Linked DNA regions of Cricetulus griseus. The protein of the gene in region 6 interacts with the protein of the main gene of each other region in a pairwise test. Links are inferred from orthologs where the notes say so. Each region holds a gene or a part of one and is shown on either strand. Other genes may lie near its edges. The genes, in order: Tle5, Eif4e2, Rhobtb3, Psma1, Eif4e, Ubxn11 and Ushbp1.

The links.
Region 1: the proteins of Ubxn11 (region 6) and Tle5 interact in binary tests that used the Homo sapiens proteins (3 or more experiments, as listed by UniProt). The two-hybrid records come from large-scale screens. The link is inferred for Cricetulus griseus from reciprocal best matches to the Homo sapiens genes UBXN11 and TLE5.
Region 2: the proteins of Ubxn11 (region 6) and Eif4e2 interact in binary tests that used the Homo sapiens proteins (3 or more experiments, as listed by UniProt). The two-hybrid records come from large-scale screens. The link is inferred for Cricetulus griseus from reciprocal best matches to the Homo sapiens genes UBXN11 and EIF4E2.
Region 3: the proteins of Ubxn11 (region 6) and Rhobtb3 interact in binary tests that used the Homo sapiens proteins (3 or more experiments, as listed by UniProt). The two-hybrid records come from large-scale screens. The link is inferred for Cricetulus griseus from reciprocal best matches to the Homo sapiens genes UBXN11 and RHOBTB3.
Region 4: the proteins of Ubxn11 (region 6) and Psma1 interact in binary tests that used the Homo sapiens proteins (3 or more experiments, as listed by UniProt). The two-hybrid records come from large-scale screens. The link is inferred for Cricetulus griseus from reciprocal best matches to the Homo sapiens genes UBXN11 and PSMA1.
Region 5: the proteins of Ubxn11 (region 6) and Eif4e interact in binary tests that used the Homo sapiens proteins (3 or more experiments, as listed by UniProt). The link is inferred for Cricetulus griseus from reciprocal best matches to the Homo sapiens genes UBXN11 and EIF4E.
Region 7: the proteins of Ubxn11 (region 6) and Ushbp1 interact in binary tests that used the Homo sapiens proteins (3 or more experiments, as listed by UniProt). The two-hybrid records come from large-scale screens. The link is inferred for Cricetulus griseus from reciprocal best matches to the Homo sapiens genes UBXN11 and USHBP1.

What each region holds. Positions count from the first base shown.
Region 1 is NC_048598.1:102,308,470-102,312,874, reverse strand, and holds the start of Tle5 (TLE family member 5), read right to left. Parts: upstream 3,041-4,405; 5' UTR 2,864-3,040; coding exon 2,837-2,863; intron 1,386-2,836; coding exon 1,288-1,385; intron 1-1,287. UniProt on the Homo sapiens protein: Transcriptional corepressor. Acts as a dominant repressor towards other family members. Inhibits NF-kappa-B-regulated gene expression. May be required for the initiation and maintenance of the differentiated state.
Region 2 is NC_048595.1:438,866,285-438,870,156, forward strand, and holds part of Eif4e2 (eukaryotic translation initiation factor 4E type 2), read left to right. Parts: intron 1-1,813; coding exon 1,814-1,948; intron 1,949-3,872. UniProt on the Homo sapiens protein: Recognizes and binds the 7-methylguanosine-containing mRNA cap during an early step in the initiation. Acts as a repressor of translation initiation.
Region 3 is NC_048595.1:297,028,591-297,032,462, forward strand, and holds part of Rhobtb3 (rho-related BTB domain-containing protein 3), read right to left. Parts: intron 653-3,872; coding exon 486-652; intron 1-485. UniProt on the Homo sapiens protein: Rab9-regulated ATPase required for endosome to Golgi transport. Involved in transport vesicle docking at the Golgi complex, possibly by participating in release M6PRBP1/TIP47 from vesicles to permit their efficient docking and fusion at the Golgi.
Region 4 is NC_048596.1:86,388,392-86,393,014, forward strand, and holds the start of Psma1 (proteasome subunit alpha type-1), read left to right. Parts: upstream 1-1,706; 5' UTR 1,707-1,854; coding exon 1,855-1,857; intron 1,858-3,253; coding exon 3,254-3,298; intron 3,299-3,823; coding exon 3,824-3,925; intron 3,926-4,029; coding exon 4,030-4,133; intron 4,134-4,623. UniProt on the Homo sapiens protein: Component of the 20S core proteasome complex involved in the proteolytic degradation of most intracellular proteins. This complex plays numerous essential roles within the cell by associating with different regulatory particles.
Region 5 is NW_023276806.1:21,021,503-21,025,100, reverse strand, and holds part of Eif4e (eukaryotic translation initiation factor 4E), read left to right. Parts: intron 1-2,080; coding exon 2,081-2,220; intron 2,221-3,598. UniProt on the Homo sapiens protein: Acts in the cytoplasm to initiate and regulate protein synthesis and is required in the nucleus for export of a subset of mRNAs from the nucleus to the cytoplasm which promotes processes such as RNA capping, processing and splicing.
Region 6 is NC_048595.1:19,189,636-19,194,169, reverse strand, and holds the start of Ubxn11 (UBX domain-containing protein 11), read left to right. Parts: upstream 1-1,429; 5' UTR 1,430-1,499; coding exon 1,500-1,583; intron 1,584-4,534. UniProt on the Homo sapiens protein: May be involved in the reorganization of actin cytoskeleton mediated by RND1, RND2 and RND3. Promotes RHOA activation mediated by GNA12 and GNA13.
Region 7 is NW_023276806.1:247,620,437-247,624,900, reverse strand, and holds the start of Ushbp1 (Usher syndrome type-1C protein-binding protein 1), read left to right. Parts: upstream 1-1,529; 5' UTR 1,530-1,899; intron 1,900-2,149; 5' UTR 2,150-2,223; coding exon 2,224-2,277; intron 2,278-2,375; coding exon 2,376-2,497; intron 2,498-2,725; coding exon 2,726-3,140; intron 3,141-4,464.

The DNA.
Region 1 (4,405 bases), on a different chromosome or scaffold from region 6:
GGATGCCAGGGCTTGTGTTACCTGGGGAAACTCGGTCGGGAGGCAGTCCTGCGACAAGGTGGACACACACACACACACACACACACACACACACACACACACACACACACCACAAGTAACTCTGGGTTGGACGTGGCTCAGCCATAAGCACCAAGGCAAAGGAGGAAAATGATAAAAAGTATCTCCAGGGAACTTATTCTCAGTGTGGATGCTGTTCCCGAGTTCGACTTCCCCCAGCCAGGAACTCAGGCCCGGGCTCAGAGAAGGCATCCCTGAGGAGGGCGGGGCCACGGACCCGAGTGGGAGACCATGGGGGGGGGCACACCTGTGCCCTCTCTAAAATGACAAATGCTGGGGCTGTGGCCTGGTAGGTAGCTTCCACTGACCTAGCACATGAAGCTCCACTGGGCCCCTTCTTGACTGTCATCTACTGTTAGCAGCTCAAGGTCATCCTTGGCTACAAAGGGAGCTGGAGGAAGCCTGGACTACATGAGACCCTGTCTCAAAATAAATACCAAAAAGTAAAAATAATAAATTAAAAAAAAATCACAAACCCAAGATTTCCTTTTTCTTGGAGAACTCTGAGTATCTTTCAAAGACTATTACTATTATTACTATTTGTTTTCTGAGACATAGGTTTGCTCTGTACCTCAGGCTAGCCCAAAACGCCTCCATCCTCCTCCTGTGTGTCTGAGAACTGAGTGTTGGGCCGCACCCCCATGCTCACTCACTGTTGGGAGTACAGGGTCAAATGGGGACCCCAGGCCACGCTTTCCCCAGTCCCCTACTTCAGGCTGCTTCTGTGCTGTGCAGCCCTCGGAAATGGCTGAGCTCTCTGGGCTTCAGAGTGATTAGTTTCACACATGAGAAACAGGAAAACAGTTTGTGGGAGCCCGTCAGTTGGATGGTCTGTGGGACACCAGCAAGCTCCCCCACTCCATAAGTGGACAGAAAGAGAAGGAGGGGCTGTGTGGACCTTGGCTGATTAATAACCCTCTCTGGACACCCACTGCAGCCTGTGTTAAAATGAGAGCATCACGCTCTCTGGGGACCCGGCTTCTGAAGCAACACACACTGTGTGCCTCGGTTTCCCCCTCCACACTACGGGGCTGCTGGTTTGGTTTTGGACTCAGGGTGGTATGTATCCCAGGCTGGCCTCTAACTTGCTAAGTAGTTGAAGATGACCTTGAACTGCTGACCCTCAAGCCTCCACCCCCTCCCAGCCTTTCTCCAGACCACAGATAACCCCTACATTCTGGGGGTGCGGCCTTCCTGGCGCGGGCTCACCTGTGGTACTGGGCTTGCAGCAGCTGGAATTCATCTTTGATCCGGTCGCAGGAGTCGGAGGTGGTGAACTTGAGCTGCTGGGGGAGGTGGGAGGAGCCCTGCGGGTGCGGGTGAGGGTGCGGGAGGGTGAGGGCCTGCTTGCCCGCCCACGCCCTACTTCCTGGCTGAGCTCTGCAGGCCCCAGCAGCACTCTCCTAGGAAGCCTGCAGGGGGCTGGGAGGCCCCCAGGCAAGGAGGCGCTTTTACCGTTGGTCATTTTGGGGGGCAGGCACCCCATCCTCCAGCGGCCTCTGAGGGGTCCCCGGGAAGCCCCTCTACGTCAAACAGGACACAGGCCTGCCTTCAAAGCCAGCTTGGAAGATGCACCTAGCTACCACCCCACACTTCCTGGGCGTACCCCCATCACACCTGTTTCCTCAGGGGACTCCCCCCAAAGCTGCCCAGCCCCAGGGGTGCCTCGCGGGGTTCCCCCCAGCCCCAGTGAAAGCCATGGGAGGAAGACAGGCCTGGGGTCAGGGAGGCAGATGGTAAATGTTAGGGTGCAGGGGCGGGCCGAGAGGTGTCCCTGGGGGTGAGGGGATGCACAGGGCTGGCATCTGAGGACACTGGGCCAGGAGTTGGGGTGTAAGGTTTTCGGATCTGGGGAGCACAGTTAGAGTCTGGGGTCAAGGCTGGGAGCAGGGTGGGGGCTGCCGGGCCACCGGGAGCTGGGGTGGGAGGGATGTGCGGGGGGTCGGCGCCTGGAGCTGGGGGAGGGCGGGCGTGGGGGGTCCTCGGGCTCCGGACAGGGGCAGAGGCACAGTGGGCGTTATAAAGGCGCAGGGTCCCCCACACTGCGGTACTGAGGGTGCAGGATGGGGGCTGGGAGGTGGCAGGCCTCTGGGGTGCGAGGCCTGCAGCTGCAGGACACAGGGCCGGGCTGGGGGGTGGCGCTGGGCCCGGATGGTGACGCCAGGCCCGAAAGGGCTCGGGGGAGAGGCAGTGGGTACGGAGCCTATATTCTGGGGTGCGGGGCAGCCGACTTGGGGGCAGGGATGGAAGTGCAGGGCCTTGGACTTGGGGGCAGGCTGGTCTGGGGCCATTAGCGAGCTGGTGCGGAGGGGTGCGGGAGCGCAGAGGTGGCGGTGCAAGGTCTCAGGCTGGAGGACACGTGCGGCCTGGGCTTGGGGTGCTGCAGCCCTGGGCCTGAGCCCCAGGGCTGGGAGACAGGCCGGATGCGGCTGGAGTGGGGTGCGGGGCCCCGGGCTGAGAGACAGGCTGGTCCGGAGTCGGGATGGGCAGGCAGCACGGGGTGGGCTCGAGGCCGGGATCAAAGTTCAGGGGTCCGGGCTGAAGGATGCAGTGCTGGGCCGGTGGGGTGCGCACGGCCTGGGTGGTTGGGTGCAAAGACCCCGGGGACAGCGCCGGTGGGAGCCCCTGGGGCAGGCCCTGGGCGGGGAGACAGGCGGGATCCGAGCTCCGGGGGTTCAGTGAGCAGAGCTGGGGATGTAGGGCGAGCACCGGGGGTGCAGGGCGAGCTCCGGGGTGCAGAGCGCGGGGTCCCCCTTACCGAGTGCCGGCTTTGCGGAAACATCATGTCAGTCGCGGGGGGCGCGGGCTGCGCCCCGGCTCGGGCGGCTCGGGGGGCGCCGGGCGGCCGCGCTTTGTCCCCGATCGGCAGCTCCGGGGCCCCGCGTCCCGCCTCCTGCGCCGCCCGCCGCCCGCCCGCGCCGCCCGCGCTATTGTGTAATGGCGACGCGGTGCCGCCCGGGCTCCCGCTCCACCTGCCGCGCCCGGCACTGCGCAGGCCGGACGCCCCACCCGTGACCTTGGCCCCGCGCGCCCCGCCCCCGCCGCGGCCCCGAGCCCTGGCCCGAAGCCTGCCTCGATCCCCCACTCCACTCTCAGGCCCCAGACCCACAGTCTGAGTGCCCAGACCCCAAGGTGCATTTATGAATCGCCTACGGTGTGCCTCGCCCTCTCTGGAGTGGGGAGGGGAGGCTTGGCACGGCTGGGGGCACGGTGATACCCGTCCCACGGAGGTAGGAAGGGGCCAGGCCTGTCACCACTGACTGAAGTGTACAGGCTGGAGGACCAAGAGTTCCAGGCCAATCTGCGCTACAAAACACCCAATCTCAAAACAGCAACAGAAAGTAAAAGACTTGAGTGATGGTGCAAGGCTTTAATCCCAGTGCAAGGTAGGTTGAGACAGGTGGAAGCCAGCCTGATCTACACAGTGAGTTCCCATACAGCCTGGGCTACATGAGCCTCCGTCTCAAAAATAACAAAAGTTAGAGACCTACTGGAAACAGAGGTGGTGCACACCTTTTAATTCCAGCGCTCCGGAGGCCCAGAGGCAGGCAGATCTCTCTGAGTTTGAGGCTAGCCTGGCCAGGATTGCATGAGCCCTTTCTCAAGAATAATTAAAATAAAAACATAAATATATAAAAGGAAAATAGTTCCCGGGGCTAATTAGTGCCCAACATTTCAGAGCAAGCTGAAGCAGAGGGATTCCTACAATTTCTGGCCAGCCTGAGCTGTATGGCAATTGTCTGTCCCATACTTGAGACAGACCCTGACAAAAGTCGACTGTTATGCACAGGTGACCCACAAAGATCAGAGAGCAGAGGTGCCGGGGCGTTGATGGCACACGCCTTTAATTCCAGCACTCGGGAGGCAGAGGCAGGCAGATCTCTGTGAGTTCGAGGCCAGCCTGCACCCCAGAGCGAGTGCCAGGATAGGCTGCAAAGCTACACAGAGAAACCCTGTCTCGGAAAACCGAGAGAGAGAGAGAGAGAGAGAGAGAGAGAGAGAGAGAGAGAGAGAGAGAGCAGAAACAATAGGCCCAATAGGCCTGGTCCACTAGGATGCCCAGCCCCAGTGAGGAGCTAAGGGGGGGGGGTATGCAGTTGAGGGGAAGAGGGAGCATGGAGACTCTCTGGCCCATAGGACAAGGACAAAGCCCCTGGGACAGAACTCACACACTGGACCCCAGGAGGCAAGGCCGCTGCTCATGGCAGGGCTTCTGGTAACAGTCCCACTGGTGAGTTTGACACTATCTTATTTAATGAAAATAGGGTCACATGTAACCCAGGCTGGCCTGGAACTCTGTAGCAGAGGATAACCCTGAATCCATGCC
Region 2 (3,872 bases), about 420 Mb from region 6:
GTTGGAGGGTATAAGGCTTTGGGTTCAATTCCTAGCACTGAAAAAAAGGGGGGAAGGTATAGAGAGGGAGGAAGAGGGTAAAAAAGAGTACATGGGTCACTGGGTGTGACCAAAGCTTGGTGGATGTGTGTATGGAAATATCACAGAGAAATCCTTAGTATTCATTTATAATTACAAGTTTTAAAAAATAGTGGAATGACCAGAGATCATTTTGGAACTTAGAACCTCCTCTTGTCATGAGGTCTTGGGATGCTGCATAGCTTTACAGTATCCTCATGTGAGATGGAGTCAAGGTTCTTAACTGGGATTTCTTTAAATCCTACACATTGCTATTTTAGACTCTTCAGTCAACAGTAGTACACATTGAAAAGTAGCTTGGGATAAAGAGAATTTAGGGAATGAAAGATAAGTGGGTCAAATTTTTCAGTATTACAGCCCTTTTTATCTGATAATCCTGAATGCCTGCCAGATATAAGCATTTACTTCTAGAGAGTAAGAAGTCACAAAGATATGAGTGGTGGTGGTGCATGCTTTTAATCCCAGCACTCAGGAAGCAGAGACCAGCAGATCTCTGAGTTGGAGGCCAGCCCGGTCTACATGGCAAGTTCCAGGACAGCCAGGGCTACACAGAGAAACCCTGTTTTGAAAAACCAAAAAAAAGGCTGGGCGGTGGTGGCACACACCTTTATTTCCAGCAGAGGAAGGCCAACCTGGTCTACAGGGTGAATGCCAGGATAGCCAGATAGCCAGGGCTGTTACACAGAGAAACCCTGTTTGGTGACTTGGCGGGGGTGGGGGTGGGGGGTGTCACAAGGGCAAGAGAGCCTGTGGCCTGAGGAGCTTATATTCACTGAGCACTTGCTGTGTGTCAGGCAATGCCCAAGCACTCTGTGCTTCTAGTTCATTTGTTCTTCACAGTGACCCTTTGAGATGGTTATTGTTATCTCCATCTTGCAGATAGGGAGCAGGTTTAAGTGACCTGCCAATCTTTAGTAATGAATGTTGAAGAGACAGACCTTGGAGTGGGCATATGTTGAGATAATGAATGCCCATGGTGTTATAAGAAAGACAGAAAGTTGTGTTACAGCAATGTGGAGTCATCTAACCACCGAAGAATGTACTATGTGAGCAGACTCCTGCACATTGCAAGTAATTGAAATTATGGTATTATTTTCAGTTGTGGAGGTGGGAAGGGAGCTATACTTTTTTTGTTCATTTTTTCAAGACAGGGTTTCTTTGTGTATCCCTGGCTGTTCAGGAATTCAATCAATCTGTCAACCAAGGTGGCCTCAAACTCATAGATCTGTCTGCCTCTGATTTGTACCACCATGTCTAGTAGGTTTGATGCTGTGAAATATTTATTAAGGATCAGAGAAATGGCCCATCAGACACAAGCCTGATGATCTGAGTTCAGTCCCTGGATCTCACAGTGAGATGGGAAGAACCAGCCCTGAAAGTTGTCCTCTGACCTCCACACACATACCATGGCATGCATACTCCCACATTCTGTCTTTCACACATTATACATGATGATAATGATCATAATTTTAGAAACAAGGTGCTGAAGAGATGATTTAGTAGTTAAGAGCACTTGCTGTTGTTACAAACCAGAGTTTGGTTCTCAGCACCCATGCTGGATAGTTACAAGCCCTCTTCTGGCCTTGCAAGCACCCACATGCATACATGAGCATGTACACGTGTATGCACACAAATAAAAAAAAAAGTAAATCTTATAAAAAAGACAATATAAATGTTAGGACTCACATCGATGTAACAAATGCCATGAACTAACTTAACTTTCTATGCTCCCCAGGCTGTTGTCCCTGGACCAGCAGAACATCCCCTGCAGTACAACTACACCTTTTGGTACTCTAGGAGAACCCCCGGCCGTCCTACCAGTTCACAGAGCTATGAGCAGAACATCAAGCAGATTGGCACCTTTGCCTCTGTGAGTACTTAGTCTGGTGGAATATACAGCACTCATATACCTTCATTTCTTTCTGTCCCTGTGTCTGCCTTCCTAGTAACCTGCTAAACATTCTTGAATGGCTTGCACTCCCTCAAGGTCATATTTGTTCAATTCTTAGGTAACATTTAGGTAATCTAAGTATGGAAAAGTAGCTTTGATCAGAAAGGCATAATACAAAAATAAAAAGAGTTTTGGTTTGAGGTTTCTTACTTTAACAGATGTTTATTGAGTCCTTATATAGAGAGTGTCATAAGAGAGACAGATTTACCGTATATGATGTCCATCCTCATGAAATTAGATTCTGACAATACAGAGTGCTCGGGCTCCTCCTCACCACAGCCCATCCTTACCCTCCCTCCTGGCTCTTTACCCTGACTATATACAGCTAACACACACAGCTAAGTGTACCTTGTTCAGTAGAGATTTTCCTGCACCCCTGTGTGCTCTATGTTCAGTCTGTGTGCAGAATCAGTTTTCTAAGAATGGGTCTTGCTGGGTAACCCAACTGGCCTGGAGCTTGCCACAGTCCTATCTCAAGTGCTGGGATTACAAATGTGAGCCACCATACCCAGTTTATTTCTAACACAGAAGCCGTCAGAGAAGTTTGGATTATCTGCTGTATGGGAATGTTAGACTAGTTTCTAAGTACAGTGGCAGCCACTATGTTAGGAAGACATTTTCATTCAGAGTTCTGTTGAATTATTTCAGAATAACTATGATTATGTCTTGCATTTTTCTTTCCTATACAGAAAAAATGTTAAAAAAAAAAAAAAAAGAAAGAAAGAAAGAAAGAAATGTGAGTTTACCCCAAGGAAACAAGGGAATTTTATGTTATCTTTTTTTCCTTGTGGCATTCAGATGTTTGCCATCAACACTGTCAGTATTCACTGGACAAGTGATAGAGCCTAAAGTCTGCCATCATAATCCACAACATTAAGAAATAGCCTGTGGCTAGACGGAGGTAGTGTACATCTTCAGTCCCAGCACTCAGGAGGCAGAGGCCAACCAGGTGTACAAAGTGATTTCCAGGACAGCCCTACACAGAGAAACCCCGTTGCATTGAAAAATCTTAAAAAAAAGAAAAAAGAAAAGAAATACCCTGTGATACTAAATCCCTCCCAGAGAAGTAATGATAACATCAATCCTTTTTCAGATCTAAAGCAATAGTTCTAGTGTTTTGGTTTTTTGAGTTTCTTTTCTTCCTTTTCTTGTTTCTCCCTTTCCTCTCCTTCCCTCCCCAGCCCTCCCCTCCTTTCTGAGACAGAGTCTCACTGTACTGGCCTAGAATTCTAGTCACTATATAGACCAGGCTGGCCTTGAACTCACCAAGATCTTCCTGCTTCTGCCACCACCTTTGGTCTAAAGGTTTATATTTTTACTTTTGTTTATGTATATGTGTATATGTGCACACATGATTGTAGGCACCCTCAGAGGCCAGAAGAGGGCATTGGATTCCCTACATCTGGAGTTACAGCTGATATGAGCCTCCCATTGTGGTTGCTGGGCATCAAACTCCAGTCGTCTGGAAGTACAGCAAATACTCTTAGCCACGGAGTCATCTCTCCAGCCCAAAGGATGTCTTTTCAAAAGCTCCACTTCAAGCCAAAAGTACTAATCACTGACTCAGGCTGAAAAAGGACCTTTAAGAGCCATTGCAGCTCCTTTTCCCATACATTTGGGAAAGTGGGAGTCTGCCTAGCACAGAGCCAGGACAGCACAGGTTGTGATTTTGTGTTTTGAGACAGGGTGTTGCTAGACCTTATTCTGACTTGGAACTTGTGAATCTCTTGCCTCAGCTTCCTGAGAAATGGCACCCATAAGCCACAGCCCCTCACTAGAATGCTGCTCTTGCAGAGGTCCCACAGCACCCACGTCAGGTAGCTCACAACTTCCTGTAATGCCA
Region 3 (3,872 bases), about 280 Mb from region 6:
AACACAGCAAGACATGGCAGCAAACTCAACCAATGCTACCAAGAGATTTGAAACCATGCTCATGAAATGAATCAGTGAATGAGGAAGTAAATAGTTCCCATAACTATGTCATTCCGTATACATAGACTAATCCTGCCATGTTCCTTTCAGTCATGCTGAGAAATGATCTTTTGGAAGGAAAATTCTATTTCCTGTAATGCTAATGTTCAGAGCACAGCCACAAGTAACTGGGATTATGACCACTACAAGAAAAAATTATGTAGACGTGATTTCTAACCCAGTGAATGCTTCAGAATTACTTCATCATAAAAACTGGTGCACAGAAACTAGAGCCTCCTGAAATCAAACCTTGAAAGGAATACTAGTCTTGACATAGCTGTTAAAACACAGAAAACCAAGGAGTATAAGTGTATTTTAATCCAAAGAGGCCCCCTCCCCTTCTAACTCCCCCTCCCCACTCCCACCCTACACACAGGGCTAGCCACCTTGGCCTTTTTGAGCAGGTCCACGATGTCCAGGTTCATGGAGGCTAGCTCCCTGCTGGGCATGCTTTGCAACTGTGTGATGATGAAGAGCTCACAGATATGCTGCAGTCTGGAGACTTGGTACATCTCAGCACAGATCAAAAGACACATGGCCTGGAAAATGCCAGCTGGGAGGAGGAAGTGAGAGAAGATGGATTATTAGACTACTGCTTTCGGGAACAAAATTCAAACATGCACAGCACGAGCTGGGGGTAGCTGGTGCACACTTTACTTCCTGCACTTGGGAAAGCTGAGGTAGTGGTGCTCTGTGAGGCTGAAGGAAGTCTAATCTATACACTGAGTTCCAGCCTAGTGAGAGCTACAACAGCAGCAGTAGCAACAAAACTCCCAATCAACACACACACACACACACACACACACACACACACACACACACACACAAACACACGAGCATTCGTGCACACTCATGCAGGCAGTTATCCTTCAGTGTGGACTAGAATTCCTAGAAAGAGTCCCATTAGCACATTCCTAACTTGTATTACATATTAAATAATCCATTAAAGCTTTCACACTCAGCCGGGCATTGGTGGCGCATGCCTTTAATCCCAGCACTGGGGAGGCAGAGGCAGGCAGATCTCTGTGAGTTCGAGACCAGCTTGGTCTAGTTTCCAGGACAGCCTCCAAAGCCACAAGGAAACCCTGTCTCGGAAAAAAAAACAAAACAAAACTTTAATTTCCAAAGAGAATCCCATCCCCAGCTCTCTAGAGAAGAATTCCAGTAGCTGCCCTTAACCAACAGAGAGCTAGCTAATTTTTTTTTCTTTTTTTTGAGACAGGACCTTACTGTGTAACTCTGGCTGGGCTGGAACTCACTGTGTAGACCAGGCTTGCCTTGAGCTCCAAGAAATCTGTCTACCTCTGCCTCCCAAGTGTGTGTGATAAGGCTAAATTTTTCTGTTAGCTACTCTAAATCTCATCTTTTCCTCTTCCTCCATCCGTGCCCACTCCAGGGTCTCACATATCCCAGGCTAGCCTTCAACTCCTTATGTAGTCAAGAACGACCTTCAACTTCTGACCTTTCTGCCTCTATCTTTGAGTGCTGAATTCACAGGTGTGTACAGTCTTGCTCAATATACTGTATTGTGGATCAAATCCAGGACTTTCTGCATGTTAGGCAAGCACATTACCATTTGAGCTACATCTCCACTCCTAACTTTTCTTTCTTTGCTTTAGTGCCCAGGCTTGGGGCACAATAAACACAAAACCTAGAATTTTAAATGTGTGTGTGTGTGTGTGTGTGTGTGTGTGTGTGTGTGTGTGCGCTTGCGCGCGCGCGCGCATGCGCTTGCATGCCTACGATATCTCTTTATGTATGCATATGGTATCTGTGTGTGTGACTACATATTATCTGTGTGTATAATCATATGGTATCCGTGTGTGTGTGCATGCATATGGTATCTATATGTGCGTGCATGCATGTGGTATCTATTTGTGTGTGGAGGCCCAGGGTTGATGCTGGGTGTCTTCCTCCATCGCTCACCACTTTGTACACCGAGACAGGGTCTTTAACAGTTTAGTTTGGCTAGCCAGCCTGCTCTGGGGATTGCTCTGGGGATTCTCTCTCTCTACCTTCCTTGGTGCAGGGATTACTCATCACCACTCTTTATTCTCCGGAGCACCATTCATCTTCCTAGACTGAGCCTTGTGAGTGTCAGACAGTCACTCCCCACTTTCCCTCTTGTCCACCCCTGGAAATCACACAGTTAAGTTTTGTGTTAGGTGTGGACTGTGCATATGGCTCAGGTGTAGAGTGCTGGCCCAGTTGCAATTGTCAAATTGACATAATCTAGAATCATGTGAGGATAGTCTCAATGAGGGATCGTCTAGATGAGGCTAGCCTGTTAGCATGTCTGTGGGAAGACCTGCCCACTGTGGGCAGTGCCATTCCCGAGGCTTGTTCTGGACTGTATTAGAGTAGGAAAGTGAGCTGAGCAGAAGGGATGAATACAATTATTTCCCTCTGCTCTTGACCAAGGATATGATATGACTAACTGCCCCAGCTTCCTACCACCTGGAATATGGACTTCGACCTGGAATTGTTATCTAAAATAGATGCTTTCTCCCATAAGTTACTCCCTATTAGAGTATTTTATCACAGCAACAGAAATGAAACAAGAACAGTAAATTTATAACTTTTATTATGAATAAGCCTTTTAGTAAAACATTGAAACAGGAAATTGGACTTTAAAAATTTGAGTGTGCTACTATATAATGCAATCACTAAAGCAATTTAGAGATACCACCTTGATTTGTGCTAATGCAATAGTACACTTGTATATTTATTTATTTATTTATTCACTTATTTATTTAGGCTTTTTGAGATAGGTTCTATGTAGCCCTAGCAGTCCTGAACTCACTGTGTAGATCAGGCTGGCCTCAAATTGAGAGATTCAACTACTCCTGCCTCCTGAGTTCTAGTATTAAAGGTGTGTGCCATCAAGCTTGGTACATCTTTAAAAGAAAACAAACAAGCCAAAAAAAACAAAAAACCAAAAAACAAAAAAACTAGTGGTCAAAGTTTTTATTAATTATTCAAATTTCCAGTATTGAGAAAATAGTATTTATTTCCACTAAGAGCCAATGCCTTCATTTTCACCAAACAAAAATAACAAGCCAGACCTTATTAATACTGGCAGTAACAACTCCAAAACACGACTAACTGGGATACTGAGACACTTTGACTATAGAAGTAATTTTCTCTTTGGAAACCCTGTCCTTTCATTTAGGAATTATTCAATTTTATTTAAACAACAAATGTAGGAAAATTTCCTAATCTAAAAATTAAAGCATGGAGGCCAAAAGGGGGGTATGATCTGAAAGGTATGGTTTTCATTTCCCTAGGGTTGCTGGCTTTTGTGAACAAGGCCTCATCTCCTAGGTCACCAGTGTATGTGGTGCTCATTCCAGCTGTGTTTGAGGAGGGCGCCACCTGGTGGCAGAATGGGATAAAACACTCCAAGGGGCTTCTGTGCCTAGTCGAAAGGACTGTGTAGCTGATACACATTATTATTATTAACATTACTAATGTGTGATGGCCAAAGATAGCCTTTGGTTAGTTATACAAATAGATCCTAAGCATCCTGGCAAAGTTTTTAGGGGAGTCTGGTTTTGAAAGTCAGTAGCAGCCTTTAAACGCCCACATCCTCAGATCAGGAGGCTCACAGTATCAAAAGTCTCGAAAACATTCAACTAGATGTGAGGACCACAAAAGCTATTGTCTAGTCCTTTCCTTGTTAGAGGAGGTGCTCCAAAACTCTAAAATGAGAGCATCCACTAGGTTCCCTAAATGCCTCTATTCTCAGGTATCTAGAGTAATCAATAGCCTGA
Region 4 (4,623 bases), on a different chromosome or scaffold from region 6:
CATTATTCATTCAACAATACAAATTAAGCACTTTTAATATGTGTGAGGTTTTGGGCTGCTTTGGGGCAAACAAAACAACTTTATCAATTTAAAGTTAGAAGTACTTTTTTAAAATAACAAGAGCCTGAGCTGGAGAGATGGCTAATGGTTAAGAGCACTGGCTGCTCTTCCAGAGGACCCAGCACCCACATGGCAGCTCACAGTCATCAATAACTGCAGTTCCAGGGAATCTAACACCCTCACACAGACATACATGCAGGTAAAACATCAATGCACATAAAATTTTTAAAAATTCTAAAAAAATAACAAGAGACAGTGTTGGTAAATTTAGAGAACAAAGCAATCTCATAAACTGTTGAGTGCATATAAATGGGGGAGGGACTGAGAAGGAAAGAAAAAAGACAAGAAAAATAAAAAGGGGAAAAAAACCAACAATAAAACAGGGACCAGCACAATGGCTCAAAGGATTAGGGCACTTGCTGCCAAACCATGAACCTGAGTTCAATCTCCAGAATCCACATGGTGCAAGGAGAGAACCAACTCCTTCAAGTTATCTTCTGACTTTCACATAAGTGTATGCAGGGCCAGAAACATACACATAAAATATATAAATAAATAAATGTGAGAACAAATACATATACATGAAAATATTTAGAAGGTGATACTAATTGCTCTGAACGTGAACATTTAAGTGACGTGTTGCTCCGCCTTCAAAGTTCAGATCTTTAAGGATCCTTAGCCGACTCTGGGCACTTATCCTTTCTTCAAAGAATTAGCAGTCTGTAGATATGTTAGGTAGGCAGCAAGCGCAGAGCTGTCTCGATTTCATTTGAGGACAAATCAAAAGATGCTCTTTAAAAATTCGTAAGAAAACCCACAGCTTCCCCCTAGTGGCCTAATCTACCAGGCATAGCATTTAGTTGTGGACAGCCTATATTCAATATCAGAACAGAACCCTGGTGAAGTTCAAAGTCCCAGAAGAGCTAGTAATGTTCATGAAATGGGCGACATGACCATGGAACCATGAAGGATGGGCTGGCTGTCCAAGTACTCAAGATATTCCAGGCCAGAAACAGGAACACACACCCCACACACATACACGCACACACACCACATACATACACACCACACACACACACACACACACACACACACACACACACACACACACACTACGGTTACACACACACACACTACAGTTTTGTGGCTTTTTCTACAGCCTTTTTCACACACGCACACACACACACACACACACACACACACACACACACACACACACACACTACGGTTCTGTGGCTTTTTCTACAGCCTTTTTCAGACACACACACGCACACACTACGGTTCTGTGGCTTTTTCTACAGCCTTTTTCAGACACACACACGCACACACTACGGTTCTGTGGCTTTTTCTACAGCCTTTTTCAGACAGGCAAGTCCCCAAACCTCTATGGACTGTGACCGACATGATATGCGGCACGGCCGCATCATCCCGAGTTGGGTTGCGTTCAGCCTGGTGGATCCAGAGTCGGCGGGAATCTGCAATCCACCGGGGGAAATAAAGCAAAGAAAGTCAGTGCATTGGCGAGCAGCCACGCCCGACTGTCTCTGCGCACAAGCAGGCGAGCCCCGGGCTTTCCCGCCAATCCCAGTTCCTTAGCCTTACCAGACCCCGCCCACCCAGAGCCCAGCTGGAGGGCGGGGGAGCGCTAAACGCCGATCCGTGGCTCTGGGATAGACTGTGCTCCCTGCGCTGCCGCCGTCAAAACTCGGCAGGCCTCCCTGACGATCACCGAACCGTAGTTGGGTCCGTGTTCCTGGGTCGGCTACTGTGTCTGATTGTCGCCACGCCGGAGCCATGGTGTGTTGAGCCCTGGGTCCTCGGAGGGTTTGGGGCTGAGGTCCGCTGACTCGGTCGGGGATCGGCCTCTGTTTCCTGCGGCGCGGGGCGGTGGGAGAGGGAGCTTGGCTCACGGATGGGCTCCGGCAGTGATTCAGCATCTGCGGCCTGGCCGACGAGGAGCGGCCGGTAGCCGGGGAGGCCTCTGGGGTCGCTTCTCCACTATACACGGGGTCCAGACGCTTCTTCCTCGGCCAGCTAGCCACGCTTACCCCCTAGCTTCCCCCACTTAACTTCCGTGGCCGATTCCCGGCGACCCTGTGGTCCCTCGTGACTGCATAGGAGTGAGAGGGTGGAGAATGCACTTGGCCTCCCGGCACCGCCAGCGCGGACCTGAGCCGACAGTGAGGCCCTTAGACAGTGCCCATCTTCCTTATGGGTCCTTTTGGCTTTATCCGACTCCTTAGAATGCTTAGATTTGTCACCAGTTACAGATGAGAGGGGAAGTGATGGAATCAGGTTCACAAGGTAAGAGCCCCGGGCTGCTTCTGTCGAGCCTGCCATAGGAACTCTGATCCTCTCACCCTCAGGAATGTTCTCCCAAGCGCGCACACACACTTGCTTTAGTAGTGGCATTATAACAGTAGTGGTTCTGCCACTGTAGCTGTTTGTGCCCACTTCTTTACCTAGGATTTGTGTGTATGTTAATTCATTCAGTGGCAAGGTGCAAGAAGAGAACACAAAGTTAAACCAGACATAACTTTAATCATAATGTAAAGATAGAAGGTGTGGTGGTACACGAATTTAATCTCAGCACTCAGGAGGTAGAAGCAGGCAGATATCTGTGAGTTTGAGGCTGGCCTGACCTACATAGTGAGTTCCAGGACAGCCAGAGTATAGAGACCTTCGTCAAAAAAAAAAAAAAAAAAGTGTAGAGTAGATCATGATAGCACACAGCTGAATTTCAGCACTTGCAAGGTTGAGACAGGGCTTCAAGGTCATCTTCCCAGGTACATATCTTCCCAGGTACGTGGCAGATGAAGGCCAAACTGGGCTGCAAGAGAAAAAGAATGAAACCTTAAAGAGATAGACATTTGAGTCAATTTAAAGGCCTTTGGCAAATTATTAGAGCCTTGTATAAGAGAACAGTGTAAGCAAAGAGGAAGAAAAGTTGATATGTACATATTTTAGCCCCTGACTGCCCAAGGAGAGTGCTGTGGAGAGTGGCAGACTAGGAAATTAGGAAGACCCTAGACCATTCATCCCAACAGCTCATGGTTAAGGTAGACTTGACTTGCAAACTGTAGTAATGTCTCAGGAAAGTTGCAGGAGCAAAAACGTATGTAAGCACATGTCTTAATGTTAAAATTTGAGGTTTATAATGTCTCATAGTAATCTGTCTTTGTTTCACTTTCAGTTTCGAAACCAGTATGACAATGATGTCACTGTTTGGAGTCCTCAGGTAAGATTTTTTTTTTTTTTTTCCTGCTGTGTCTATGAAGTGGCTTTTCTTGGCTTCAGTAGGTTCAGAAACTTGTGAGATTGTAAACTGTGCTTGATGGTGCATATCTTAATCCTTACTGGTCAGGATACTGAGGCCAGAGATCATGGAGTTGGAGGCCAGTTTGAGCAGCTTAAAAGACCTTATCTTTAAAAAACAATGAAATAAAACTTGTGAAATTATAGGCTGTGAGCTTAAAGTTAGTTAGCTGCTCAATGGGGGAACACACCTTTAATCCCAGCATTCAGGAGGCAGACAGGTGGATCTCTGTGACCTCAAGGCCAGCTTGGTCTATAGAACGAGTTCCAGGATAAGCAGGGGATTGCACAGAGAAACCCTGTCTGAAAAGGCAAAACAAAACAAAAAATAGTTTATTTGTTTTAAAACTGAACTTCAATTATGCTCATCTAAGATCTGAAAACTTAAATTTTTAGTTAAAAGGATCTAAGGACTGACTATAAGAAGTGCTTTTCTTTTTGTCTTCAGGGCAGGATTCATCAAATTGAATATGCAATGGAAGCTGTTAAACAAGGTTCAGCCACAGTTGGCCTAAAGTCAAAAACACATGCAGTGTTGGTTGCATTGAAGGTAAGTGGAATGATATACTGTCTTCCTCCTTTAGGAAACAACTATCAAATGTAAATTTCACTGATAAACAAAGCTGTAAACTATCGTACTATGTCTCTATTTAGAGGGCACAGTCGGAACTTGCAGCTCACCAGAAGAAAATTCTCCATGTTGACAACCATATTGGTATCTCAATTGCGGGTCTGACTGCTGATGCTAGACTGTTATGGTACGTATGACCATGAAAAATTAAGTATCCCTTTTGATTCATAATGATTTATTTTACTAGAAAATATCCTAGTAACATATTTCAGGAAGTTGTCTCCCAGAATATAATAATTTTTAATTATTTTATTTTATACATATGAGAGTTTTGTCTGCATGTATGATTGTGTACCAGTGTGTGCCCAGTTCCTCAGAAGCCAGAAGAGGACATTAGCTTCCCTGGTATTGTGAGCTGCCATGTGGATACTGGAAATTGTATCTGGGTCCTCTGAATATTGTAATTTGTAATATTTGGGTGTGTTGTTAAGTATTCCCACTCCCTAATTCTTGTAGTGTTATTAAACATCCTAATGCTTTTCAAATGTCCTTGCATGAGGTAGTTGTTGACATGTATATTGTTTCAAGCCCTGTATTCCTAAGAGCTGGACATGCCTTGCCTTAAGGATGACCTGAGCCATTCTAGTTTTCTTTTATAGGTTAATATTTTTTATACA
Region 5 (3,598 bases), on a different chromosome or scaffold from region 6:
GGGTGTAACCTGAAAATATCTTGTTAAGCAAAGTCGGAAAGAGAAATTTCATGTTTTCTCTCATATGTAGAACTTAGGTTTAAGATTTGTATGTGTGTGTTTGTAGGTCATGAAGCTACTAACAGGACCTAATGAGGTTTGGAAATAGGACAGTGCGTACATTCTATTGGAAAGTACAAGGATGGGCTAAAGGGAAGCACTGTGGGGGTGGGGAATCCGCTGTCTGGAGTGGAAATGAGATGATGATACCATGACACAAGTATGAAGATGCCATGGGGAAACCACTACCTTTATACTAATCTAAAAATACCTATAAAATAAAAACACATTTAGAAAAATTAAGGGATGCTTTTCCTGCTGACTGACAGTCACCAACCCTTGCTCTTTAAAGGCAGTGTCTGACTACACAGCTGTGCTGGGGTTGAGCCCAGGATCCCCCTTCCTCCAGCCTTGGAATGCTGTGGGTTATATACATGTCCATGAGAGTGTCTTGTATATGTCGGTCTGGTGAATGATTATATTATCTACAAGTCAGATACAAAGTGATTGACATTAATTCCACCTTCTACAGTCAGCTCTCCCCTGTCATCTCATTAATCAAAAATGATAGGATCTCACAGTTTGTAATTGATGTAAGTTTTTACAACCCATTCATAGCATTGCTGATTAAAAGTTACAAAATTTTGAAATCAGTGTAATCAAACTAAGCTTATTGGTTGATATTATTTGGTGTATGTGTCTTGATATGGGACTTTAGCACTTTGGTTTTATAAATATGAAGTCATAAGCATTTTCTATGGTCAGGTTCTGGGGAGCAAAGTTCATGGTTGATGCTTTTTTTGTAACCACTTAGACTCCATACCTGATTTATAGTTAGCTTTTACTAAGTGAATAAGCACTTACTACATATGTGTATCAGTAATATTTTAAAGCAAAAGTTACACTTTTGGAGGAGAATGAGTAAATATCATTTTGGAATCCCATAGGACAGTGGTTCTCAACCTTCCCGATTCTGCAAACCTTTAATACATCATGTTGTTGTGACCTAACTAAAATTATTGTTGCTACTTCCTAACTATAGTTTTATCGATTGTAGTGTAAATATCTGTGTTTTCCAATGGTCTTGGGCAACCCTTGTGAAAGGGCTGTTAAGTCCCTAAAGGGGACATGACCCATGACCCACTGCCATAGGAAAAGGGACATTTCACTTTTGTAAGTTAAAAACAATTATGGCTATAGATTCTAGTAACAGTTGCTCAGCAATGTTAAATGTGCTTAATGCTAATGAACTCTACTTTGAAACTGTTAGAACATGGCAATTAAATGGGAGCATAAGTAGCTATTTCAGTCATCTTGCTAATGACTGTTTGCCAACAAACTAAGCAGTCGAGCAGATGGATATTAATGAGATCATTTTTGTGTGTGCCCAGTTTGCAGAAAAAGTTAAAACATTTGAATTTTCTTAAGCCAAGGTAAAAAAATATATAAATGTTTAAATTTAGACAGTTTAAAAGTCAGGGTTTTGTTTGTTTGTTTTTGGTTTTTCGAGATGGGTTTCTCTAGCTTTGGAGCCTCTCAGCACTCACTGTGAACCAGACTAGCCTCGAACTCATAGAGATCAGCCTCTCTGCCTCCCAAGTGTTGGGATTAAAAGCGAGTGCCACCACTGCCTGGCTAAAAGTCAGTTTTTAAGTTGGCTTCTGGCTCCACAGGTGGGAGTGCTTGCTGCCAAGTTTTGAGTTTAATTCCCATAACCTATAGGGTGGAAGGGCAGGACCAGCTGCTGCCAATTGTCCTCTTACTCGGTTTGCCATTATGTGCATGTCCTGTCTCCATCCCCACCAAAATGGCAACAACAAAAAAAATTAAGAATCAATTTCTTTATTCATTTGCTTTGTTTTTGTCTCTGTAGATCAAGATGGCTTCAGACTTGGCAATGCTGCCTCTGCCTGACCAGTTTAAGAAGTCAACTCTAGATTTAAAAGCTGCTTTCTTTTATAATGTACACCTAGAAGAGCTCTTTGCTTTTCTCATTGTTGTTGATATGTTTCATGTAATTTGGGTGTTCTTTTTTTTTCAGCTGCTGTGCCTTATTGGAGAATCTTTTGATGACTACAGTGATGATGTATGTGGAGCTGTTGTTAATGTCAGAGCTAAAGGTGATAAGATAGCAATATGGACGACTGAGTGTGAAAACAGAGACGCAGTCACACACATAGGGTGCGGCTTTTGTTCTTCCTACCTACTTTGACAGCGTTAACTTGACTAAATCATCCACCTTTAGAAATTTGGGCGTTATGAGCTGTTATTTTCTTTGTAAATGTTTTATGAACACTTAGAAGCTTGAACCCTGTTGATACTGAATGTGTTTGTCTTCTGTAAAATGCTTTTGTGCAGTGGTGTATATAATTGCCTAGGCTAGTTGAATGAAGGTAGCGAGTCATGTCCATGTTTAGAGCCAACGAGTTTATAAACTTTTGTATTTTGTCTTGGTAAGTTTTATTCTTTATAAATGTGGCCAGTCTCCTCCCCCTCACCTGGCCCCTATCAACTTAAATCAGTAAGAAGAAAAATAAAATTTGATTGTAAGTGGGATTTATAAGAAAGGAGACGTTCTTGACTTGTCATTTTTCATCTTTTAGTTACACATTTACTTGTAGGAATGTCGTATTTCTTTAAAATAGAAACTAATTTGTTATGGATGTTTTATATCAGATGTTTTGAAATCTAAAAACATTCAGTTTTTCAAGGGATTTTTTTGTTTTTGGTTTTTTGAGACACGGTTTCTCTGTAGCCCTAGTTGTCCTGGAAATTGCTATATAGAGTAGGCTGACTTTGAACTTTTGATCTGCCTGCTTCTGCCTGCCTCCTGAGTGCTGGGATTAAAAGCCTGTACCACCACGGCCAGGCTGAAAATAGCTTTTTTTTTTTTTTTTTTTTTTTTTTTTTTTTTTTTTGATGCTTCTTGACTTTTTTTCTTTTTCTTTTGATTTTTTGAGACAGGGTTTCTCTGTGTAGCTTTGGAGCCTATCCTGGCACTCGCTCTGGAGACCAGGCTGGCCTCGAACTCACAGAGATCCGCCTGCCTCTGTCTCCTGAGTGCTGGGATTAAAGGCGTGCGCCACCACCGCCCGGCCAGTTGACACATTTCATCTACTCCTTCCTTTCTTTTCTTTCCTTCTTCCTCTTTCTTTCTTTCTTTCTTTCTTTCTTTCTTTCTTTCTTTCTTTCTTTCTCTTGTTTTGTAAATACATTTTTAATGGTAAAGTGTATATTAATCTGTTACAATGTTGTTCTCATACTTGTTGTCAGATTATTTATTTCAAAAAAATACCTGTTGAGGCCAGGTGGTGGTGGCATAAGCCTTTAATCCTAGTACTCAGGAAGTAGAGGCAGTTTGATCTGTGAATTCAAGGCTAGCCTGGTCTACAGCCACCCCCCATGACACCCCCCAACAAAAAACCTGTTTAGAAGTTAAATTCTGGAATGTAAAACTCCTGCTCATTTTTTGAGTGTTTGGTATTTTTTCCTGGGAATTAAAAATTCAGATTTCTAGGGTTGACAAGGAAATTCTGTGCACATTTTCAGGTGTTTTGTC
Region 6 (4,534 bases):
GTTGTGGTGACCCCAATCATAAAATTATTTTGTTGCTACTTCATAACTGTAACTTTGCTACAGTTAAGAATCATAATGTAGGCTGGGTGTTGGTGGCACACGCCTTTAATCCCAGCACTCGGGAGGCAGAGGCAGGTGGATCTCTGTGAGTTCGAGGCCAGCCTGGTCTCCAGAGCGAGTGCCAGGATAGGCTCCTAAGCTACACAGAGAAACCCTGTCTCGAAAAAAAAAAAAAAAGAATCATAATGTAAATATTTGATATGCAGGGTATCTGGCATTTGACCCCCCACAGGGTTGCAACCAACATGGCTGTCCAGGGACTCACTCTGTAGCCGAGGTTGGCCTTGAACTCAGAGATCAGTCTGTGTTTGCTTCCAAAGTTCTTGGACTAAAGGCATGTGCCACCACCGCCTGGCAAGAAATACTTTTTTTTTTTATTATTTTTTATTTGAATTACAAACAAGATTGAATTACATGACCATCCCAGTTCCCTTCTCCCTCCCTTCCTCCCCTACCACCCCCCAACTAACACCCAGCCTATCGCATAGCCTTTCTTCTAACCTACACCCGACTCAACCTATACCGGTGTTTCATAAGTACTTTGCATTAATCTCACTTACCCATCCCAGCTACCCTGTCGGGTAGGCATTATCTTCATTTTACAAGGAAATGAGATGTCAGTGTGTCCAAGGCCACACCTTTGCCTGGTGAGGACAAAATTTGGAGTCCTAACTAAACTGTCTGTGTCGTTAGTCTAAATTTATTTATTTAGTGATTTTGTTGTTTTATTTATCTTTTTGAGACAGGGTTTCACTGTGTATGTAGCCCTGGCTGTCTTAGAACTCACTCTGTAGACCAGGCTAGCCTTGACCTCAGGACTGCTTGCTTCTGTGCTGGATTTAAAGTCGTGCGCTGCTACAGCCTGGCTTTAGTAACTTATTTTGTGTCGTGTCTGTATGGAAGTCAGAAGACAGCCCCTGGAGTCCTTTTCTCCTGCTACGTGTGCCCCAGTGATAGAACTCAGGACGTCAGGCTTGGTGGCAAGCGCCTTTACCCGCTGAGTCATCTATCTCTGAGGCTCAAGGACTGGAATTTATTTACAAACTGGGAGTGGGGTATGGTACCCAATTCTTCCACATAGGCACTAGAATTAGAACTTTACTTCATAGCATCATCTAGTCCATAAGTTAGAGGAGAAACTGAGACTTAAATATTTATTAAGGAAACTGCATCAGTCCAATTCATCGCTTCATGATCAGATGGGGAAACAAAGGAAACGTAGCTCAATCTAGACACTGTAACCGTCACATCTCCAGGGTCAGAGGGTCCAGCCGCCAAGTCCAGGTCTCTGACCTCTGACCTCGTAGAACGGTGCATTCTGGGATCTGTAGTATCCTGAGCCGCTCTTCTTCACCGTGGGCCAATAGTATTCGGGCACAGTCGGCTACACCCGCTTTCGTTGCCCGCCGGTTCGTCAGCGAGCCTCTGGGAGTTAGCCAATGAGAGGTGCTCGGCTCCTGGTCGCCAAGGAAACCCCGAGACAACAAGATGGCGGCGCCGCGGGACGGCTCGCTGGGCCCGTGGTGAGTCTCGGCTCCTGGCCTTTCTGCTCCGCCAAGTCTTCCGGGCAGGCCGGAGCCCCCGCCCCGGCTCCGAGGCCCCGCGGCCTGCATGGCTCGGCTCAGGAGGGCAGCGGGGACCCCGCTCAGCGTGTCCGTGCGTGGGCGGAGCCGAGGGCGGGCTCCCGGGGCGGGGTTTGGGCGCCGGGGCTTCGCCCTGCAAGCGCGCCCAGCCATGGGCCGGGAGGGGCGCGCAGCCAGCCAGCCGGTGCTCCCAGAGCCCAGCGTGTCTGGGGATGAACGCCTAGGGCAGCCCTGAGTTCGGCCCTCAAGGTGGAGAAGCGCAGGACACGTTTGTAACCCTCACCAGAGGCGACAGCCAGGCCTTTACAGCCTTCGTCGGTTGTGACGGACTGGGAGGCGCGACTGCGAGTGTGAAGCTCGTCTGGGTTACATGGCCAATTAGGGCAATTCCGCGAGACCTTGTCTCATATTTTAAAAAGTAAATGGAGGCCAGGTGTGGTTGTACAAACCCTTAATCTCAGCACTCGGGAGGCACAGGCCGGCCTGGCCTACATAGTGAGACTCTGTCTCTAAAAAACAAACAGTAACTAAACAAAATAGAAGGCTGGGGCTGTTGGTCTGTAATTTTTTTTTTTTTTTGGTTTTCGAGACAGGGTTTCTCTGTGTAGCTTTGGAGCCTGTCCTGGCACTCGCTGTGGAGACCATGCTGGCCTCGAACTCACAGAGATCCGCCTGCCTCTGCCTCCTGAGTGCTGGGATTAAAGGCGTGCGCCACCAACGCCGGGCCAGACCTGTAATCTTAACTACTCGGGAGGCTGAAGCAGGAGGGTCACATGTTTAAAGTCAGCCTGGACTTTAGAGCCAGTTCAAGGCCATCTTGGGCCAAGACCTTCCCTTTTCTTTATATACAATTTTATACGTATACGTGAGTGTCTGCATGTATGTATGAGCACCACGTGCGTGTCACAGGAAGCCAGAAGAAGGCATCAGATTTCCTGGAACTGGAGTTACAAAAGGGCCATGAGCTACCTACCATATGGTTGCTGGGAACCAAACCCAGGTCCTCTTCAAGAGCAGCAAGTGCACCTAACCTCTGAGCCATTTTCAAGCCCAACACTTTATTTCGTTAAAAAAAAAAAAAAGACCATAGATAGAGTGTATCAGTGCTGCACTTACATAGCACGTATAAGGTCCTAGGTTCACTCTCCAGCCCTGAAAAAGTGAATTAAAAATAAGTTTAAGTGCCTGGTGTTGGTGATGCATACTTTTTAGTCCTAGCACACGGGAGGCAGAGGCAGGAGGATCTCTGTGACTTCAAGGCCAGCCAGGGTTAAACATTGAAATCTTGTCTCAAAATAACAACAAGGGTTTAGGGAGACAGGTTAGTTGGTGAAGCCCTTGCTTTGCAAGCTTGAGGACCTGACTTTGATCTCTAGAACCTACTTACAAAAACAAAACAAAACAAAAAAAAACCCCAAAAACAGGTGTGAGGGTTGGCAAGATGGCTTAGTGGATAAAAGGTCCTGCTGCCATGTCAGACCACCTGAGTTCCATCCCCAGGATCCATGTGGTGGAAAAAGAAAACTGAGTTCTTCAGGTTATTCTCTGACTTCCAGATGCTCACCATGGTATCCATGTGCCCATACACACATAATAAATAAATAAATGAATGTTGAAAACAAAACAAAACAACAACAAAAAACCCCACACGTGGCACAGACAGGCCAGGCACTTGTCATCCCAGTGCTGGGAAAGTGGAGGCAGGTGGATCGCTAGGGCTTGTAGCTGGCCACATTAGATTGTTTGACAAGTTCTAGGCTAGAGACAAACCCTATATATTTAAAAATAAAATAAAATGTGGAGAGTGCCTGAGGATGACACTCTGGGTCCTCAAAGGACTCATGCGTATGCACCTATACCTGTGTGTACTCACATCCACACAAATAAATAGTGGTGGCATTTGCAGGACTCTGACCACCGGGGAGATGAGGCAGGAGGGTCACAAGTTAGAGGCCATCCTGGACTAGGTATTGAGACTTGTCTCAATAACAGGACAAAAAATGGTTTTGCTGGCTGGTGGTGGCAAACGTCTTTAGTCCCAGCACTCGGGAGGCAGAGGCAGGTAGATCTCTGTGAGTTTGAGGCCAGCCTGGTCTCCAGAGCGAGTGCCAGGACAGCCAGAGCTACACAGAGAAACCCTGTCTTGAAAAAACCAAAAATCAAAAATCAAAAAAACAAAACAAAACAAAACCCCTATGGGCTGGAGAGATGGCTCAGTGGTTGAGAGCACTGGCTGTTCTTCCAAGGTCCTGAGTTCAGGTCCCGGCATCTACATGGTGGCTCAAAAACATCTGTAATGAGATGTGGTGCCTTCTTTGGTGTGCAGGCATATATGCAGGCACTGTATACATAATATATAGATAAATCTGTTTTTAAAAGGAGCCCTTTTCGGAGAGGCAGTGGCACACACCTTAAATCCCAGCAGTGTGGGAGCAGAATCAGCCAGGTGGATCTCTTGAGTTTACAGAGCAAGCTCCAGGACAGCCAGGGCTACACAGAGAAACCCTGTCTCAAAACCTTAATTTTATGCTTTGAAGTGGTGAAGTATAGGAAGTGTGTCTTGGTAAAGTTATGTAAGAAAAAAGGTGGTTATATAGTATATGATTCTACTTATATAGTGCTGAGCAGGAGTGGTGGCTCATGTCTGTACCCCTGGTACTCAGAGTCAGGTGAGATCTCTGAGTTCTAGACTAACCAGGGCCACATCCTGAGACCTTGTCTTAATAAATAAATAAATAAGGAAAGAAAGAAAATTCTAGAGATAAAACAGTGGTGCTTACCAGTGGTCCAGGCTAGTGAGGAGGCATAGTGTGACTCAGCCTGCAGGAGGAAAGCCTTGGGGATGGGAAAGGCCTGCATCTTGATGGCAGTGGTAAAACCCAATCTGTCCG
Region 7 (4,464 bases), on a different chromosome or scaffold from region 6:
GCTACGGCTACCGCGCGTGGGGGACCGGGCCGTGCACGAGGGAGGGCGCTCCCGCGGGTGATCAGGTCCTGGGGCAGCAGGAAGCCCAAGTCGCCGACCGTGCAATGATGCGCGTTTCTCGGGGTGGCGACTCAGGACTCCGGAGCCCCCACCTCCTCAAGCAGAACGAACCTGGAACTGCAGCAAGCCGGATCGATGTCCGACCACAACGACAAAAAGCTCGCACGAGATCACACCGCCAGGTTCCACTCTGCAACCTAGGAACCACAGCCAGTCAATCACAGGGTTCTAGGAAGCCGCCATCTTCCTGACCGGAAGTTTGCACGGTGCTGCCGTAACGTCTTCTGGGAAATGTAGTTCAATGGCCCCGGGATCCTGGGGGTGTGCCTTAGAGCACACTGGCAGGAGTGGGGCTGAAGTGGGGTAGTGTTAGGGATGGGTGTGACAGAACGGGGTTGACTGAAGCAACACTACACTTGTCAAGGCTTCTGCTGAGATAGGACAGGAGCCGACCTGGGCGGGGCTGATTGGTGATTGACGCGGTGGGACTTGACGTGGATTTGCGTCATGTATTTCTGCTTCGTCTTTTACATATGTTGGCACTCACCAATACCATCGCGATGGGGGCTGGGGAGCACACTTGTCATCTCCGCACTCCAGAGGGCAGAAGATGACGTCAGGTGTTAGGCTAGCCTGGGCTATACGAGACACTTCTAAAAGCCAAAATGGAAAGGAAAAATAAAGAAAATCCCGCAGATACCGTGGACAGGCTCCTTGTCCCGGGGGAGCTTTCCGGCGCCAACAGACGGTGCTCTGCTTGAAGAAAACCGTTGTGGGTCGGAGAGCAGGTGCGGCCACCACCACGCCTGACCGAGGGAGAGGATCGATCCCACGAGTGCTTGCAGCTCACCCACCACAGACACAAATAGATAGAACAAAGTAATGAAAAATAAAATTTATTCCAATGTTGGAGCCCACGCCTACAGGTTTGTTATTTTTAATTTTAGAAACACACACAAAGAGAGAAACAGAGAGAGAGAGAGAGAGAGAGAGAGAGAGAGAGAGAGAACAGAGAGACAGAGACAGAGAGGAAACACACAGACACACAGAGAGAGAGAAACACACACAACAGAGAGACAGAGACAGAGAGGAAACACACAGACACACACACAGAGAGAAACACACACAACAGAGAGACAGAGACAGAGAGGAAACACACAGACACACACACAGAGAGAAACACACACAACAGAGAGACAGAGACAGAGAGGAAACACACACAGAGAGAAAGAGAAACACACACACGACAGAGAGACAGAGACAGAGAGGAAACAGAGAGAGAGAGAAACAGAGAGAGAGAGAGAGAGGCAGAGAGAGAAACGCAGAGAGAGAGACAGAGACAGAGAGGAAACACACACACAGAGAGAGAGAGAGAGAGAGAGAGAGAAACACACACAGAGAGAGACAGAGACAGAGAGGCAGAGAGAGAAACGCAGAGAGAGAGACAGAGACAGAGAGAGTAACACATACACACACACACACACAGAGAGAGAGAGAGAGAGAGAATGAGAGAGAGAGAGAGCTTACAGTAAGAGTGAGCCCTGGTGAACCTGGGGATGGACACTGAGAAACCCTGAAATGGAAACAGAGAAAGGGACTGCAAGTTTGGGCTGGGCTGTTAGCCTGGAGTGGCACAAGGGTCCCAATTCTCCATCCTGTCCACATTCTGGAGGAAGCTGACATCCTGAAGAAGGAAACAAGACAATAACTCTCCATGTGACCAGGGCAGGAGGCTTCCTGTTTCTCAGCCCCTCCCAGGCCAGCCTTGGCCAGCACAGCCTCAGCAGCCAGTGGCCAGGATGACCTGAGATGTGCCCAGGCACTCAGGCCTTTCCCAAGGTGCCCTGGAGCAGAGGAGAGGGTGGAGCCCCCCACTCCCAGGGGAGGGAGCTTGGTGCTAGGAGAGTCCTGGGAGGAGAGCAGATTCTTGGGGTCCCTATCCCATACCTCCATAGGGGAGAGAGGGGGACACTGATGAGGGAAAAGCACCAGAGAAGGGGGCAAGAGGTTGGGGCAAATAGACAGGCAATGGGCACCATCGGAGAGGTATCCAAATGTTCTGTCAGTGCAGTTGACCAAAAATTCCTAGGGTGAAAACCGAATGATACGGGGAGACAAAGGGAAGATCTGAGAGCGGGCTGTAACCAGGGGGTTAAAGAGGCAATGAGCGCCCGGGCCACTAGGCCCCGAAGCCGCCGAGGGAGGCATCCTCAGCCTGTAAGTGTGCCCCTCTTCCTGCTTCACCCAACCTCATGGATCCTGGAGCCTAGGCCTGCTTGGACTAGAACCTGCCGTGGTGGGGTTGTCATTTTCAGGGGGAGCTGGACCCAGTGGCTGAGAGCTCAGAGGAGGTGGAGGCCACCAATGGGAGCTTCGAGTCCAAACCTGAGTTACTTCAGGAGCACCTTGGTCCTGACCTGCAGAGCCCAGGGAAACGGTAGGACGAATTTAGTGCTTACTTCCTGTTCCAGCAGGAGCCCCTCACAAAGCTGCCCTGCCCACCTCTCTTAGTGTCCATTGCCTCCTCTATCCCCCTCCATCTCTCTCTTCCCTTCCTTTTCCTCCTCAGCTCACTGCCTGCTCACCCTTCCCAGGGACCTTGAGGTCTAGCCCTGAAGCCCCTGCTCAGACTCAGGTGGCTGGGGTTCCTGGGTTGTCTTTCCAGGCCTGAGGGTGATTGTGACATGGGATCCCACGGGGCCATAGCCTTGAAGTCAAAGGTGGAAGGCCACCAGACCCTGCAGGCAGCCCCTCTGGATACCAGCTCTGGTGCCACATCAGTACCCAGTGTGTTTGAGACCCTGCAGAGCAGGCTGAGCTCCCTTGAGGCCACTGTGGCCGCCTGGCGCCACCGCTCCCGAAGCTTTCCAAGGCCATTGGAAAAAGAAGAGAGAGACCAGATGGCATTGGAGCCCTTTGATGGTCAGGAAGAAGCCTGGCCTGAACAGCACGAGGCAGCTCGCCTCAGAGAGAGGAACGCCTGGCTGCGGCTGGCCCTGGGCCGCCATGAGGATGAGCTGGTTTGCACTCAGGCTTCCCTGCAGGATGCCCAGGCAGAGAAGGAGATTCTGCAGAGACAGGTGAGCTGAACAAACACACATTTATTCATTCAACAAACTGATGTGGAGGAATGACAGCCACAGAAGTGACCAAGGAAGACAGCAAAGTGAAAGAGAGGGTCAAAAGGAAGCCAGGCAGGGTGCACCCCATGATCTCAGCACCCCAGAAGCTGAGGAGAGACAGATCTCAATCAGAGGCCACTTGGTCAAGACAAAGGTCATTCTCAGATGTAGACTGAGTTCAAGGCCAGCCTGGGTTAAAGACCTGTGTCAATTTTTCTGTTTGTTTTTTAAAAGTTTCAGAGTACCTCAGTGATAGAGGCTTTGCCTAGAGTGTGTGAGGTCCTGGCGCGCGCGCACACACACACACACACACACACACACACACACACACACACACACACGTGCGCGCACACACACACACACACACACACACACAAATCAATCCAGTCTTAGGGTTTCTATTGGTGTGATAAAACACCACCACTAAAAAGCAATTGGGGAGGAAGAGGCTCTTTTCATATTAAAACTCTCAGGCAAGGAGGGACTACCACAGTATGCAGGATGTGGAGGCTGAGCAGGACTGCAGCTGTGCTATGTGTACTGCGAAGCCCCAGAGGGTTCTGGGTTCTGCGGGGAATTGGACCTGCTGGAGGTGTTCCCTTGCGCCATCTGCTGACCGTGGAAGGAACAGCCTGGTGGTGGACCATGACCCTGGTGGTGGGGGAGGGGCGATAACAGTGGGCCCGGGGAAGAGTAAGGTGGTGGTGACCAGAAATGGGCAGATTGTGTGTGATGTTAAACCCAGGTGTTGTGGGACAAGCCTGTCATGCTAAGAACTCTAGAGCCTAAGACAGGAGGATCACAATAGCTTAGACAAGATAGGCAAACGTCTCAAAATAGAAGTAAAGACAGACTGGGCTAGGGTGCTCAGCACTCAGTTTGGAGAGGCTCTTCTCACCAACATAAAAATGAAACTCTCCTTCCTGAGTGTGATGGTGGGAGACTGAGGCAGGAGGATGGCTGGAGCTGGGGAGATCCAGAAAACCCAGGGAAACACTGAGTCTCCTAAAAATTAAAAAGGAAAAAAGTCAAAAAGGCGGGGGCTGGAGAGATAGATGGCTCAGCAGTTAAGAACATTCACTGGTTGTTCTTCCAGAAGCTCACAACTTCCTGTAATTCCAGTTCCCAGCAACCCAACACTCTCACACAACACACATGCAGACCAAACACTAATACACATAAATTAATAAAAATAAATGAATCCTAAACCCCCCATCAGTAGCTGCACACCTCAGGTTCGATGCTGAGTGGTAAGTGTTGAGTGGCAACTGGGACCTGTCTG